2 linked regions of the Tamandua tetradactyla genome follow. The protein of the gene in region 1 purifies or fractionates together with the protein of each later gene. This does not show direct contact. Links are inferred from orthologs where the notes say so. Each region holds a gene or a part of one and is shown in the gene's direction. Other genes may lie near its edges.

Region 1 (7,851 bases):
TTACCATGACAGAGAAGTGACCCTTAACTTTAATATATAATGGTACCTTTGTATTTTTTATTGGTTGGCTTGCATTCTTTTTCTCCCCTTGGAATTTAGAGACTGTACAGATTGTTTTCGCTTCTAATGGCTTTTTTTTTTTATTAGAGAAGTTGTGAGTTTACAGAACAATCATGCAGAAAATACAGGATTCCCATACACCACCCTATTATTTACACCTTGCATTAGCTGATACATTTATCACAATTGATGAAAGCACATTTTTATAATTAACTACGGTCCAAGGTTTTGCACAGGGTTCACTGTCTGTCTTGTGCAATTCCACAAGTTTTTTTTGTTGCTGTTAACTTCCATTCTAGCATCATGTATACAACCTAACATTCTGGGGTCTCTTGATCAAAACCCACAGCCTTCCCCTGACCCATCCCATGCCCCTGCTTTAGCCCCATTCCTCACCGTCTTTAACAACAAACTGGGAAAAGGTGTCTTAAGTGACTGCCTCCACTTCCTCACCACCCATCCCCACACTCCCTGGGAACTGTTTTCACTAAGGTCATTGTCTTAGTTTCCCTGGGCTGCCGTAACAAATTACCACAGACTGGGGGGCTGAAAACAACAGTTTATTCTCTGACAGTTCTGGAGATCAGTGCTGGTTTGAAACTGTTGTGTACCCCAGAAAAGCCATGTTCTTTAATCCTCATTCAATGCTGTTGGGTGGCATCTTTTTATTAAGTTGTTTCCATGAAGATGTGATCCACCCAACTGTGGGTGGGTTTTTTGATTAGGTAGTTCACTGAAGATGTGTCTCTACCAATTCAAGGTGGGGTTACTTACTGGAGACTGTTAAGAGGGAACCATTTTGGAAAAAGCTTTAGGATCTTCACAGCCAGAGACCTTTGGAGATGAAGAAGGAGAATGCTCCTGGGGAAGCCTCATGAAACAAGGAACCGGGAGAAAAAGCTAGTGGACTTCAATGTGTGCTTTCCCAGCTGACAGGTGTTCTGGATGGCATCAACCTTTCTTGACTGAAGGTAACCTCTTCTTGGTGCTTTCATTTGGACATTTGCACAGCCTTAGAACTGCAAACTTGCAACATAATAAATTCACCTTTCAAAGCCACTGTTTCCGGTATATTGAATTCTGACAGCTTTAGCAAACTAATACAAGACCAAAGCCCGAAATCGAGGCATCAGCAGGCTGGGCTCCCTCTGAGACCTGCAGGGGAGTCTCCTCCTTGGCCTCTTTCAGCTTCGGTGGTGGCCAGCCATTCTTAGCATCCCTAAGTTTACAGCTGCAGCACTCCAACCTCTGCCTCTGTCGTCACACAGCCTTCTTCCCGCTGGGCATCCTTTGGGTCTGTCTGAATACCCCTCTCTTTCCTCTTATCAAGATGCCAGTCATTAGAGGATTACATTAGGATTCACCTGAATCCCACATGATCATCTTAACCTGATGACATGTGCAAAGACCTTATTTCCAAACAAGGTCACACTCACAGGCACCAGAGGTTAGGACTTAAACATGTTCTTTTGGGGGACACAATTTAATCCATTACAGTCTGTAATAATCTTGTGGCCATATGCAGCCACCACCTGTGGTGTCAACATTTTGGCAGTTCTGGAGGTGGTTTGCTTTCCCTCCTCGGGCTCCATGATGGCACATATTCCCGGCTCTTTTCCTGCTGCACTGGCTATTCCTTCTCCTCCTCGGCCCCTGCCCTTCTCTCTTTGGTATACGTACTCTCTCCCTAGGTGAACCAACCCAGGTTAGTGGTTTTCATCCCCACTCTATATGGATGACTTGGATTATATCTCCAGCACTGACCTCCACACACAGGTCAAAAAACATAGGTTCAACTGCTGATTTGACATATCTGTGCACTGATAAATGTTCAAACTTAACTTGTCAGAAAGGAACTCATGGCTCCACACCCACACTGCACCACCTGCTCCTTCTTCGATCATTTATTGAGCTGATAAATGGCCACACCCAGTTGCTCAGACCAAAATGTAGGAGCCACGTTGTCCCATCCCCCTCTCACTCCCTGCCAACTCTGCCTCCACCACACAGGTCAAATCTGTCTATGCTCTCTTTTCACAGCTCATGAGTGTTAGCTGTGGAATTATCCTGCTCAGATCTTCCTTCAAGAAAGAACTTGGCTTTCAAGTGAGAAAAGTTGCAGACAGCCAATGGCCTCCAGCAGCAGCACCCACTCCATCCGCTCCACAATTTAGGCTAAGAGCACTCTCTTCCTTAAAGTCACTGGCCAACTCTCTCTCTCAGCCAACACAACAAGCAAACTCACCACCCTCCCCCTGTCTACATGGGACATGACTCCCAGGAGTGTGGACCTTCCTGGCAACATGGGACAGAAATCCTAGAATGAGTTAAGACTCAGGATCAAGGGATTGAGAAAAACCTTCTCGACCAAAAGGGGGAAGAGTGAAATGAGACAGAGCGTCAATGGCTGAGAGATTCCAAACAGAGTAGAGAAGTTATCCTGGAGGTATTCTTACACATTAAGTACATATCACCTTGTTATTCAAGATGTAACAGAGAGGCTGGAGGGAACTGCCTGAAAGTGTAGAGCTGTGTCCCAGTAGCCATGTTTCTTGAGGATGATATAGCTTTCACAATGTGACTGTGTGATTGTGAAAACCTTGTGTCTGATGCTCCTTTTATCCACCTTGTCAACAGACGAGTAGAACATATGGAATAAAAATAAATAATAGGGGAAACAAATGTGAAAATAAATTTAGTTTGAAATGCTAGTGATCAATGAAAGGGAGGGGTAAGGGGTATGATATGTACATATATATATTTTTGTTTTCATTTTATTTTTTTCTGTTGTCTTTATTTCTTTTTCTGAATTGATGCAAATGTTCTAAGAAATGATCATGATGATGAATATGCAACTATGTGATGATATTGTGAATTACTGATTATATATGTAGAATGGAATGATCAAAATAGGAATGTTTGTGTTTAATTGGTGTCTTTTTTTGTATTAAAAAAATAATAAATAAATAAATAAAATTAAAAAGCCACTGGCCAAGGACTGAACACAAAGGGGCTGCTAGGTTCCGACAACTCTAACCTTAACCCTAACCCACTTCTGCCCATGGGGAGATTCCTGTATTAGGCAGTCTTGGCTCCAGAGCTCTCCATTGGGTTGGCCGGTACTCAGTCAGATCTGCACTGCAGTCTGAGAACCCCCCTTGCTTATTCCAGCTTCTTTCCCATTTCCCTTTCTCAGGCAGCAGATCTGCATCATTATCTGAAAGGCTTCCCCTGCCCTCTGGCATCTTCCCATTTACCTTTCACAGCCCGTAATAAATGCTTTGCAGTCCTTGTTCCATCCCTGCAATTGCTTCCTGGAGACCTAATCCAAGCCACACCATCTCTGGCACGGCCACCTGTAATCATCTCCTAAATGGTCTCCCTACTTTCTTCCTCACTTCCCTCCCGCATCCCATTCCTCCTACAGAAGCCGAAATGACCTTTTAAACACTTGTATCATGACCCTCTCACGCTTAAAATCATTGACGGCTTCCTTCACCATTAAACAAAAACATCCAAACTCTTTTCTGCAGCCCACGAGGCTCCACAACGGTGGCCTGGCCCCTGCACACCCCTCTGGCTGTACCTGCACTCCTCCACTCCCTCCCTTCTGCCAGCAGAGCTTAACCACACCAGCTTTCTCTCCATCCCTCCCACACGACCGACTCATTCCCACCTATGCCAGTACTTAGCTGTCTGCTCCATCCTCGGATCTCCGCGTTCGGGTTTCAGCTCAATGTGTCCTCAAGGAGGCCTTCCCTCCTGCCTCCGTCCAAGTGCCCCTCCACCGGAAAAACACAGGACACCCAATTAAACGTGAATTTCAGATAAACAAGTAAAATTTTTAGCACAATTATGCTCCAAAAATCGCAGATATCTATGGCATGGGACATCGTCCCACGGCCAAAACTGTGGTTTTTCTGAGGCTCATAGACAGCTGGGCGCCCCACACCGGCAGCCTTGCCCCGGGTCTAGGTCCACCACGAAACGGCATGTTCGCCGCCTTCACTGGCGTCACCTCCATCCAAAGGGAGCTCGTCCACTCGTCCGCCCATTTCTCGTCGGCGTCTGCAGCCCCTTCGCCCACTCGGACGTCGACGTCGGGGCCCTCGGGGCCAGGCCGGGGCCCAGCCCGCAGCCCGCGCTTCACCACCCCCTTCGCCGCTCTCTGGGGTGCTGCCGGCCGTCCTCCGCAGCCCTGGGTCGCGAAGGCAAACGCGCTCGCGGGGGCCAAAGCGGACTCCCGCCCGTCGGGGCCGCAGCACGCCCCTCTCGCCCCGAAGCCGAGGGTCCGGGGACACGCGCCGCCAGGCCCCCCTTCCACGCTCGGCCGGCGGGCTACACCGACCAGGCTCCCAGCCGCGCTTCTCTCCCCACTCCCGGCTCGATGCAGGATCCCGGGAGCCCCCAAACCCGACCCTCGACCGCCCACCCTGCGGTGCTCTCTGGGGAACGCCCTATTCCCGTGCGGGCCAACGCGGAACCGGAGGCGGCAGCCCAGTTTCCAGCCGGCGGGAAAGGGGGAAGCACTTCCGGAGCCTGGCGCGCGCATGCGCGGAGCGCTTACGGCGGCCTGTCCGGGACCCGGAGCTCGGGTTCCTGCCCAGTGACAGCCGGGTTGGTCTGCAGAAACGTGCTTTCGGCGGGGATAGGCCGGCTCCGGGGCCGTCTCTGTTTTGGCTGAGGACACGTCGCGGCCGGGAGACTAAAGAGAGGGAATACGCTTTCCGGGGGCGCGCGGGGGGCGGCCGGACGCCGCCGTTCAGTGTCGGGCCCCCGGGACCTTGGGTAGTGCCGGGATGGCGAAGGCGAAGGCCCCGACTTCCAATCGCGCCCCGAGCAGCCCCGAGGCGAAACCAGAGAGTGTCAAGAAGCGAAATCGAAAGAAAAACAAGAGGAAAAAATTCTGGAAAAAAAAAGCACAAGAAGTCAGCAAGAAGCCGGAAAACGAGTCCAGAGTGGTCGCGGTGCGACCTCCAAAGGCACCAGAAGACTTTTCTCAAAATTGGAAAGCGCTGCAAGAGGTAGGACTTGAGAGGGCCCTGCCAGAGCCAGTGGCGAGGACAAGGGAAGCTCATTTCCCCCGGGGCTCGCTGTTCAGTCACGCAGCACACACTAGAAAGGGAAAGACTGGTGTGGGCCCAAAGTCACACGTTCTGAAATGGGTTGATGCTTTTTGCTGCTGCGCATTGTTGACTTTCAGAGTCTCCTCTGCAGTTTTCTGGAGTCCACTGTGGGGCCTCTGAGTGAGAGAGAGAAAGTAGAGAACCTCCTGAGCCTCTTAACACCCGGCACGCTGTCCTAAGGGCAGTGGTTTGTAGGGGTTTTCCTACCCCGACACAGAGGACTAGATCATGTTCAAACAGAGTTGAATTCCCCTGGGGAATCCCGGGGTTCTGCGTAATGTCTTGAACACTAGCTGTAATACTACCTCTTTCTCCCAAGAAGGTACATCAGAATTCAGTGCATGAGAGGGATGTGTGCTTAGGGGAAATCTTGAATTCCTTGTGAGAGTATGTAAGTCCTTTAGTTCTCTAGATATTATGGACACAGGTAAGTGGAACTCAGCTTACCCTCTCTCAGCTGGTTGCTCCACAGCAGGGTCTTCACTGGTTGAGAACTGCCATGTGGGGACGTGAGCATGGAGAGGTAGATGGGCTCAGAGACCTTGGATCCCCTCTTGGGATGAGGCAGAACCAAGACTGCTGGGATTCTTCAGCCATCTCCAGTTTGACAAGAGCTGTTCCTCTTCCTGGGACCCTCACAACAGCAAACCAAAAAGTTTGTAAAGAAGCTGGTTGCTGTATGCCAACATATTGACACCCAGTCATTTCTGACTTAGAAATAACTTATGCGATAAGTTAAATACATTTTTTAGAAAATGGTATCAGGTTGCCTAATGTTTCTGCAGGCTCAGAGCAAATTGGTCTGCAGTGTCCAGTGATCGACAGGTACTTCAGGGTGGTGTATTGGCCTAAACAAGGGAGCGAATGTCAGCTTATGCAAGGCAGTGGAATAAGCAGGGGAACAGCATTCACAAGAATGCTGTGTTATGGGCAAGAATGAGAAGGGGCTTTCCCAACCCACCTGAAAATATATTTCAGGGATGGTGGTAGGAAGTTTACATAGATGTGATTGATGTGTGGTTGTATCTATTAGAGACACATACACATAAATTTTTTTAATCTTCTATGCTTACTTACTTTCCAAATTAAAAAATGGCATTCATTTTATTTTTGATCCCTTAGTTGCTGAAACAAAAACCACAAACCCCAGAAAAGCTTCCTGTTACCCCTCAGATGGGCTCCAAAAAGCAGCCCAAAATTAACTGGCAAAACAGAAAGGAAGTCTCAGGTGAAGATGAAACACAGCCAGGGCCCACAGCAAAACCAGACCGCAGGGCCCCCAGGAACTCCACACCTTCTGGAGTTCTGACAGACACGAAGAGGCCAGCACTTCCTGCAGAGGCCATCAGAGTAGAGCACAAGGAGGAGGCAACCAGGAAAAAGGCAAATGGAGCCATTTCTGTGAAGCGAGTGCTTATCAAACATAAGCGGAAAGCCAAGGAGGCAGCTGCAACCCCGCCAACAGAGTAAGTATTTGGAGTTTCTTTCCCCAGTGGTACCCGTGGCCTCCTCTGCAGCCAGAATCAGCTCTCAGGGCCACAGCCTGGCCCCTGTCACCCCTCACCCCTGAGAACAGTTACAGCGACATCACACCCTGAGGCCGGTACCCCTGCAGACTTGCCATCGCCTTACCTGACGGTATTTGCTTTCACTTTGGTTGTAATCTGCTGTTACTTGTTCTCCCCTAGCATGCGGACATCACGGAAGCAGGGCTGTCTCGTGCTCAGCCCTGTGTCTTCAGGTTCCGGCACAAGCACAGCACTTAGTAGGCACAGTAGATCTGTGGGGTGAATGAATGCCAGAGCCGGAGAGACACGAGATGGACACCAGGTCTTATTCCTTGTGGGTTGGCTGGTTTGGAACAAGTGAGGGAAGCCCCCCAAGCCTCGTGCAGCCATCTGCGGGCAGTGGGAAGGGGTAGAGGGTGGGCATGGGGTACTGGCCCATATGATTGTCCCTCACGCAAGGAGGACCAGGAGCCGGCGGTGTCTCACCTGAAGGTGGCACCTTGGCAGGTCAGAGGCAGGCTCCACATTACCTGGGTGTTCAGGATACGGTGTGAAGGTCAAAGGAATGAATCATCTGAGTGTCCAGCAGATGCCGTTGTGCTAGGACCACATCTGGGACTGGAGCCATTGGCAGGACAAGCCTGGCCCTGGCCTGAGCTTCTGGTGATAAGCTGAAATCATCTTGGGAGCCATGTGTCTGTGTTCACTGTGCACTTGGTGCAGAGATGCTTACGGGGGGTGCTGGCAGGGGCAGCACATCTCAGTGGGTGGGGCTTGGGAAGAGTTTTTCTCAGGGAATGGCCTTTCAGCCAAGCCCAAAGGATGAATTCACCAGTGACATGCTTCTGTTGTTGTGTGGGCATCCAAGCATGGAGGCCTGACATGGAAACACCACCTGTCAACCTTAGGAGTTCTGCGCTTTCCATTTGATGGTTGTTTTAGTTTGCTAGCTGCTGGAATGCAATATACCAGAAACGGAATGGCTTTTACAAAGGGGAATTTAATGAGTTGCTAGTTTACAGTTCTAAGGCCGAGAAAATGTCCCAATTAAAACAAGTCTAAAGAAATGTCCAATCAAAGGCATCCATGGAGAGATACCTTGGTTCAAGAAGGCCGATGAAGTTCAGGGTTTCTCTCTCAAGTGAGAAGGCACATGG
Region 2 (6,880 bases), on another chromosome or scaffold:
CTAATAAGTTTAATCTATGAATCTAAATTTTCTGTTATTGATTCTTTGAGTGCAATTATCCCTAAAATTCATGAACTTTATTTTCCCTTTTCACATCAATATTTCCTTCACATATTGACTTCCTTATGGAAGTAAAAATCTGAAGTCTAACAACAATCTTATTACCTCAGGGCTTGGTGATGATATTTCATGCTTGCCTGCCTTACAGATAACGATAATATTGGCAAATTTAACAGTTTTGAAATGTTTAAGTTACATTTCAAAAAAAATTTAAACAATTTTTGAAAACAATTACTGCTGAAAATTTTACAGAGAGTGAAACAACTTAAATCAGTTCTAAAAGACTACCATCAATCTTACGATTCTGAAATCCAAAGTTCTTTGCAGGCAAACATACAATGTTTAGACATTATTTTGCCTGCTTCTACACTAACTGCACAACTCTTAATGCTATATCGTCTTTGTCCCTTTTTAAAATAAAATCACGGACTTTTAGTACAGGTTTCTGATGAAAACTGAAGTACATGAATACATAACTCTTACAATGTCTATGATTGAGAAGTTTTCAAAATTAAATTTTCCCTTCAAGTACTTTCAAATCAAAATTATAAATTAGTAAAAATGAACCATGTAGAAATAATGCACGTACTTTAAGGGCCATTTTTTTGCTATTTTATCAAATTACTGGCACAATGAATTTCATAGACAAAAATACTCAAAATAACTATGTTCTCAGCAGAATTAAAGAATGGTTGAGTCAATCCCCTGACAATTTCCGCTGCCAAAAAGAGGCAACTGAGAAACGACTGGAAAGCAAATCTAAGATAATGCAGTATCAAAAAAATGAAGAAAGAAATTTCATACAAAAATTTTACTGACCAAAGTAACTGTGTTTTGAGGGAGCATGAAAGGAATTACTTGCCCTCGATCTTGAACCTTCTTGTCCCTGGGGAGGAAGAAGCATCCCACAGGTTCACTTTTGTCAATGAAAAATTTCTCAATAGTTGCTACAAGAATACAATGCTGCTTTTTTTATTCTGTGTCTCATTTTTACCTTTCTTAATGCTCTGGAAAGACAGGTAAGATGGGAAAGAAAATTGGGGAAGAAATATTTGGACAAGCATAAGGAAAAATATCAGGACACACAAGCAAAGAGTTGTTGGGTCTGATCATGAACAGCCTTGCCAAGTCCAAGAACAAGCATTGTGTGTTAGCTAGACAAGGGAGGAGAAAGGTGGTTTGGTCAGATCTGTGGAACAAATCTTAAGGACTGACCTGAAGAGAGAATGGAGACAAGAAACCTGTTAGGGTGTTCCTGGGATACTCCTCAGGTTCCTGGCAGGGTCATAAATTGCCACCAAACTGGGTAATTTAAGACATACTAGCAAAGGAAATATTTATAAAGACAGGCGCAAGGTTTAAGGAGACCCACAAAGAGTAATCCTTAAAGGGCAGAGAGATATAAGCAATCCTAGGCTGGCAAGAAGGCTGCCCAAAGAAAGCTGTGACCTTTTAGAGGCACCAGCCACCCCAAGGCAATCTGCAGAGGGCTGGGGGCATTTGTACCCTGACCTCACTCTCTTCACATCCTCTGATGCTTTGCAAAGCTTCCCACTGGCCAAACCCAGTGGAAGTCAGGGGTACAGAACAGAGTAGAGACAGGATCTGGAGAAACAAAGGAAGAGATCCAGTCCAATCCTGATGGGGGGGATGGAATACAGAGACAAATTCAGCTGGACTTTTAGAATGATTGGATTTGGAAATGGAAAAAGAAAAGTCAAGAATGACTTTATAGTTTCAAGTCCCAGTTACTAGACTGGAATGATGATAACATCAGTTGAGCCTGTTTTTATTAACACCGGATTTCTCATCGCCTGACACAGTGCTCCAGGCTTCAAGGAACTTCAACAAACATTTGTTGAAAAAAGAGTGGGTGGGTGGATGGATGGATGAATGGAATGAAAGAAGAAATAAATTTGAGGGAAGATGATATATTATTTAGTTTTAGACACAGTATGGTGGAAGAGCCGAGTGGACGGAAAGGATCAAATCTGTACTACTGAGAACCATCTGCACAAAAGCAGCAGCTGACATCATGCAAGTGGATGAAATGGCACACAGAGCAGGTATTAAGAGAAAAGAAGTGAGATCTGAGGACCAGATTTGGGATCTGTGGGCCAAAAGAAGAAAAAGAAAACAAAGAGAAAAGACAGCATGTACAGCCATTTGCCAGACTGTTTAAACATATCCACATGCCTGCACATACCTGGCAGGCTTTCTTTTTTCTTGACACTGCACAGTCTTGCCTAACATGAGAATGATACAAATGCCTGGGGTCCATCACTTACCCACTTGGCTCAATTTTATTTTATTTTTCATTCAAACCCCATTCTTCACTACTTTTGCTTACCCTGAATCTAACACAGCCAACAGGAATACCTTTTTAATTTAGAGAAATCTGTAACGTTTTTTTCTTTCAAGCAATCATGTATTGAGTACCTATTATGTATCCAGTACTAAGTTCAGCAAAGTGAAAGTAAATATCAGTCTCCAACCAACAAGGAAATTAAAATACTCTCGGACTGTGAAAAACCAATAAACATAAAACAATTAAAGAACAATTAAGTGTTCATCTGTATAATCCTAACCAAATAACATTTATCCAGTGAGGATTCACACTATTCAATACCTGTCCACCTCCTTCTTAATCCAGGAGATTGATGGAGGAGCTAAAACCTACATAGGTGCACAATCTATTGGAAGCTCAATCACACTATTTTGTAAAATTCTCATTACCTGTGTTCTTTCCTGGTGTTCCAGAAGGTCTCAACCCACCTTGTATCTAGTGTCTGTTACATGGTAGCTGTTCAGTTAGATGTTTGCTAACTAAATGAATGAATCATAAACCAAGCCAGCACCAGGAGTTGTATCAACATTCCAACCTTCTTCTCTGGCAAACCACAAAAGCTTTTAGATTCAAGGCAGTTATCTAATATGGCCTTTGGCCTAACCTTGGCCTCCTAAGGTGACTGGTAGTAAAGACTTAGTGATGAGCACTAAGGCACAGGTTCAGAAAAACCCCAGCAACTACTACAATTATTTTAGATTAGAGGAAGAAAGGAGGGTCTAATACAATGTCTGGTGCATGAAATGTGCTCCATAAATGTTTGGTAAATCAGTGAACCAAGAACAGCTGAAGATAGTGAGCCTGAGACTAACTTGAGTACACAATCAGAATTAGGGTGCAGGCAAACTGCAGAGCCTGGAGCTCTTTTGTTCCAAGACAGGAGAGGATATGGCCCCAGGCTATAGGTCTATCTCTTAAACTTTTTATATTAATTTCTACTGCCTAATCTTCCAGCATAACCCCTACTTCATTATTTCCAATCCCCTGATCAAGGAAAACAAAACCTGTAAACCCCACAATCAGCAATGCCTCCTAAACGTGAATGTACATACTGATCACCTGGAGAGCTTGTTAAACCGAAGGTTCTGATTCTGTACATCTGGGGCAGGCCTGCGAGTCTGCCTCTCAAAGCTCCCAGGTGAAGCTATGCTGCTGATGAGCAGACCAGAGTATCAAGAGCCTGGTAGACACCGCAGTCTTAACGCTGGGTTAAGACACCTCTTGCCCCCACATTTCGTAGGTACATGACCTCGCACAAGTCATTTCACCTGAGTTTCATCACTGGCATATGATTAATACCAACAAGAGCTAACATGAGTGCTTACTAAGTACCAGAACTGTTTCCTATTTATCAACCTATTTGACTCCTCTAAATAACCTGTGCAAGGTAGGTACAGTAAATGGTAAACCCACATCTGACTTAAGCAGTCTGACTCAAGAACCTGGTGTCTTCAATTTAGCTGTTATGAAAGTGAAAGAGCTGTTATGAACATAATAGAGTAACTGGTATTAATTTAACTAACAGTTACTGAGCACTCTTTCGTCCCAGGCCCTATTCTAACTCCCCCTTGGGGTATATTAACGCCCTCATCTTTACAAAAGCCCCAAGCCATAGGTACTATTATTTTCTACATTTTGTATATTTTTAAACAGGCCCAGGAAAGTTAAATTGCCTAAGATTAAAATGTCCTTAGATGGCTCAGTCGGGATAAGCGCACAAGTAATCTAATTGCAGTGCCCGACGCTCGTCTTGCCCCGGACCAAGAGAGATCATGATTTCAGGCCTCTGAAGCACCAACACTCGCTCGCTCCCAAACCAAACAGATCCTTCTCCAGCACTCAACTTCACGTTTGTCTGGGACATGCCTTTCCCCGCCCACACATTAGGTCCCACCATTAGGGCCGTGGTGAAATCATTTCTGTAGCCCAACTAGGGATGCTTCACTAAACAACTTCACAAGGCATGTACAGTGAATTTGAAACACAGGGGCTCCGGAAACCCCCTAAAGCTGCGACCCCAATAATTCGTCCCTGGAACTGCCCCGCCTCCTGGCCCCGCTGCATTCTGGGAACCTCGACCTCAATCAGGCCCTGGAACTTGTAGTCTGGGCTCTTCGCGCTAGCTCCGCCTACATCCGGGTGCACGCCCGAGGTAGGGGGGGGGCTTCTAAACCCACAGGCTTTCCAACACCGCCCCCTGCCGGCCTATGGAGAAAAGGTAATGTAGACAGAGAGTCGGTTCCGGAGGCTCCGGAAGTGAATCATTCTCTTCCGGATCGAGGGTCTGAGCGTCAGCACGTGGCTTCGTTACCCGGCTTAGAACTGACACTGCCGGAAAAGTAACTTGAACTGTAGTTCTGAGCACGTTAAACGAGCCCGAGCTATGGACGGTCAAAGCGTGGAGGAGCTGCTGGCAAAGGCGGAACGGGATGAGGCAGAGAAACTGCAGCGCATCACGGTGCACAAGGAACTGGAGCTGGAGTTCGATCTGGGTAACCTGCTGGCCTCCGACCGGAACCCTCCTACGTGTCTGCGGCGCGTGGGACCCACGCTGGAGGCCGAACTACGGGCCCTAGCGCGAGACAACACTCAGCTGCTCATCAACCAGCTGTGGCAGCTGCCCACGGAGCGCGTGGAGGAAGCTGTGGTGGCACGGCTGCCCGATCCTACCACCCGCCTGCCGCGCGAGAAGCCGGTGCCCCGGCCGCGGCCGCTTACACGCTGGCAGCAGTTCGCGCGCCTCAAGGGCATCCGCCCCAAGAAGAAGACAAATCTGGTGTGGGACGAGGTGAGCGGCCAGTGGCGGCGTCGCTGGGGTTACCAGCGCGCCCGCGACGACACCAAGGAGTGGCTGATCGAGGTGCCCGGCGGTGCCGACCCTTTGGAGGATCAGTTCGCCAAGCGGATTCAGGCCAAAAAGGAACGGGTGGCCAAGAACGAGCTGAATCGGCTGCGTAACCTGGCCCGCGCGCACAAGACGCAACTGCCCAGCGCGGCCGGCTTGCACCCTACTGGACATCAGAGCAAGGAGGAGCTGGGTCGCGCCATGCAGGTGGCCAAGGTCTCAACCGCCTCTGTGGGGCGCTTCCAGGAGCGCCTACCCAAGGAGAAGGCGCCCCGGGGCTCCGGTAAGAAGAGAAAGTTTCAACCCCTCTTTGGGGACTTTGCAGCCGAGAAGAAAAACCAGTTAGAGCTATTGCGAGTCATGAACAGCAAGAAGCCTCAGCTGGACGTAACAAGGGCCACCAATAAGCAAATGAGGGAGGAGGACCAGGAGGAAGCCGCCAAAAGGAGAAAAATGAACCAAAAGGGCAAGAGAAAGGGGGGCCGACAGGGTCCTGGGGGCAAGAGGAAAGGGGGCCCGCCCAGCCAGGGAGGGAAGAGGAAAGGGGGCTTGGGGGGCAAGATGCATTCCGGGCCGCCTGGCTTGGGTGGTAAGAGAAAAGGGGGGCAGCACCAAGGAGGAAAGAGGAGGAAATAATAGAGGCACCCTCGGACTTGCTCTGTAAACCGGAAAACACATACTAAATTACTAAATGTTAAATTCTAGATAGAGCAGGGGGTATAGAAGAAGGTGGCCACTATCTTCACCGAGCTTGGGGTTGAAGGGACAGGACTGACCTCACCTCAAGAAAGTAAGTGTTGGACTCTACAAATTGTTTTTCCCACAACCGAGACTTTTTAGCTGGAGATGAAAAATTAGGGGAAGAACTTGATGGAAACCAGGAACGAGTTTCTGTTTTTAAATAGCCACCTTTTTTCTTTTTGACTTTGAATATGGGTGAGGGAGAGTTGGTCATATTTCAGAGACTCACAATGAATTAATTTATACATTTTTGCATTATTTTTGTAACAAATTTGTGTGTTTACCAAAGCAGGGGAGAACAGGAAAGATTACATTTTCACAACTGTACTTACAGCTAACTATTGAAAAGATTATTTAATAAAAGTGCTTATAACTTTGCAATTATTGGTAGAAATCTTAAGTGAAGTCCAGTGACATGGATACCAGGTACAGAGTGTTTTATTTACTTTCTAAAAGATATAAAGCAGCTAAATTATCATGGTTTCAGAGAAACCACTTTAGTTAGAAAAACTCACTTTTGGTATCAGATGATATTTGAAGATGTAATATAACGCTATTTCAAATGTACATTTCATGCTTTTCAACACGGGTTAATTTGATGTAAATGATAAACTTGGGTCTCACTAAATAATCATGGTAATTCTCATTGATGCAGAAAATATTTAAATTTGTTTCAGCATTTATGTTCCCTCACCCCCCCCCCCCCAAACTTGACTCTCAGTAAGATCTGTTTTGGAAAGGAAGAGACCCACAAAATCCTTACTTGGACCGTTAATATCTTCTGGATCAAAGCCTGAGCTGATTTTGTTCAAAAGTTAAATGTTTATGGCTGTCCTAGGGCTCTTTCCTGCCCATCAGTCTCTTCCTAATCTCGTCTGTTAAAAATA

The links.
Region 2: the proteins of REXO4 (region 1) and RRS1 purify together in Homo sapiens (co-immunoprecipitation; 3 studies listed by BioGRID and IntAct, with this or other methods). This does not show direct contact. The link is inferred for Tamandua tetradactyla from reciprocal best matches to the Homo sapiens genes REXO4 and RRS1.

The regions. Positions count from the first base shown.
Region 1 is NC_135328.1:133,124,447-133,132,297, forward strand, and holds the start of REXO4 (RNA exonuclease 4), read left to right. Parts: upstream 1-4,624; 5' UTR 4,625-4,859; coding exon 4,860-5,084; intron 5,085-6,308; coding exon 6,309-6,652; intron 6,653-7,851.
Region 2 is NC_135332.1:109,968,798-109,975,677, forward strand, and holds RRS1 (ribosome biogenesis regulatory protein homolog), read left to right. Parts: upstream 1-4,663; 5' UTR 4,664-4,790; coding exon 4,791-5,888; 3' UTR 5,889-6,370; downstream 6,371-6,880. UniProt on the Homo sapiens protein: Involved in ribosomal large subunit assembly. May regulate the localization of the 5S RNP/5S ribonucleoprotein particle to the nucleolus.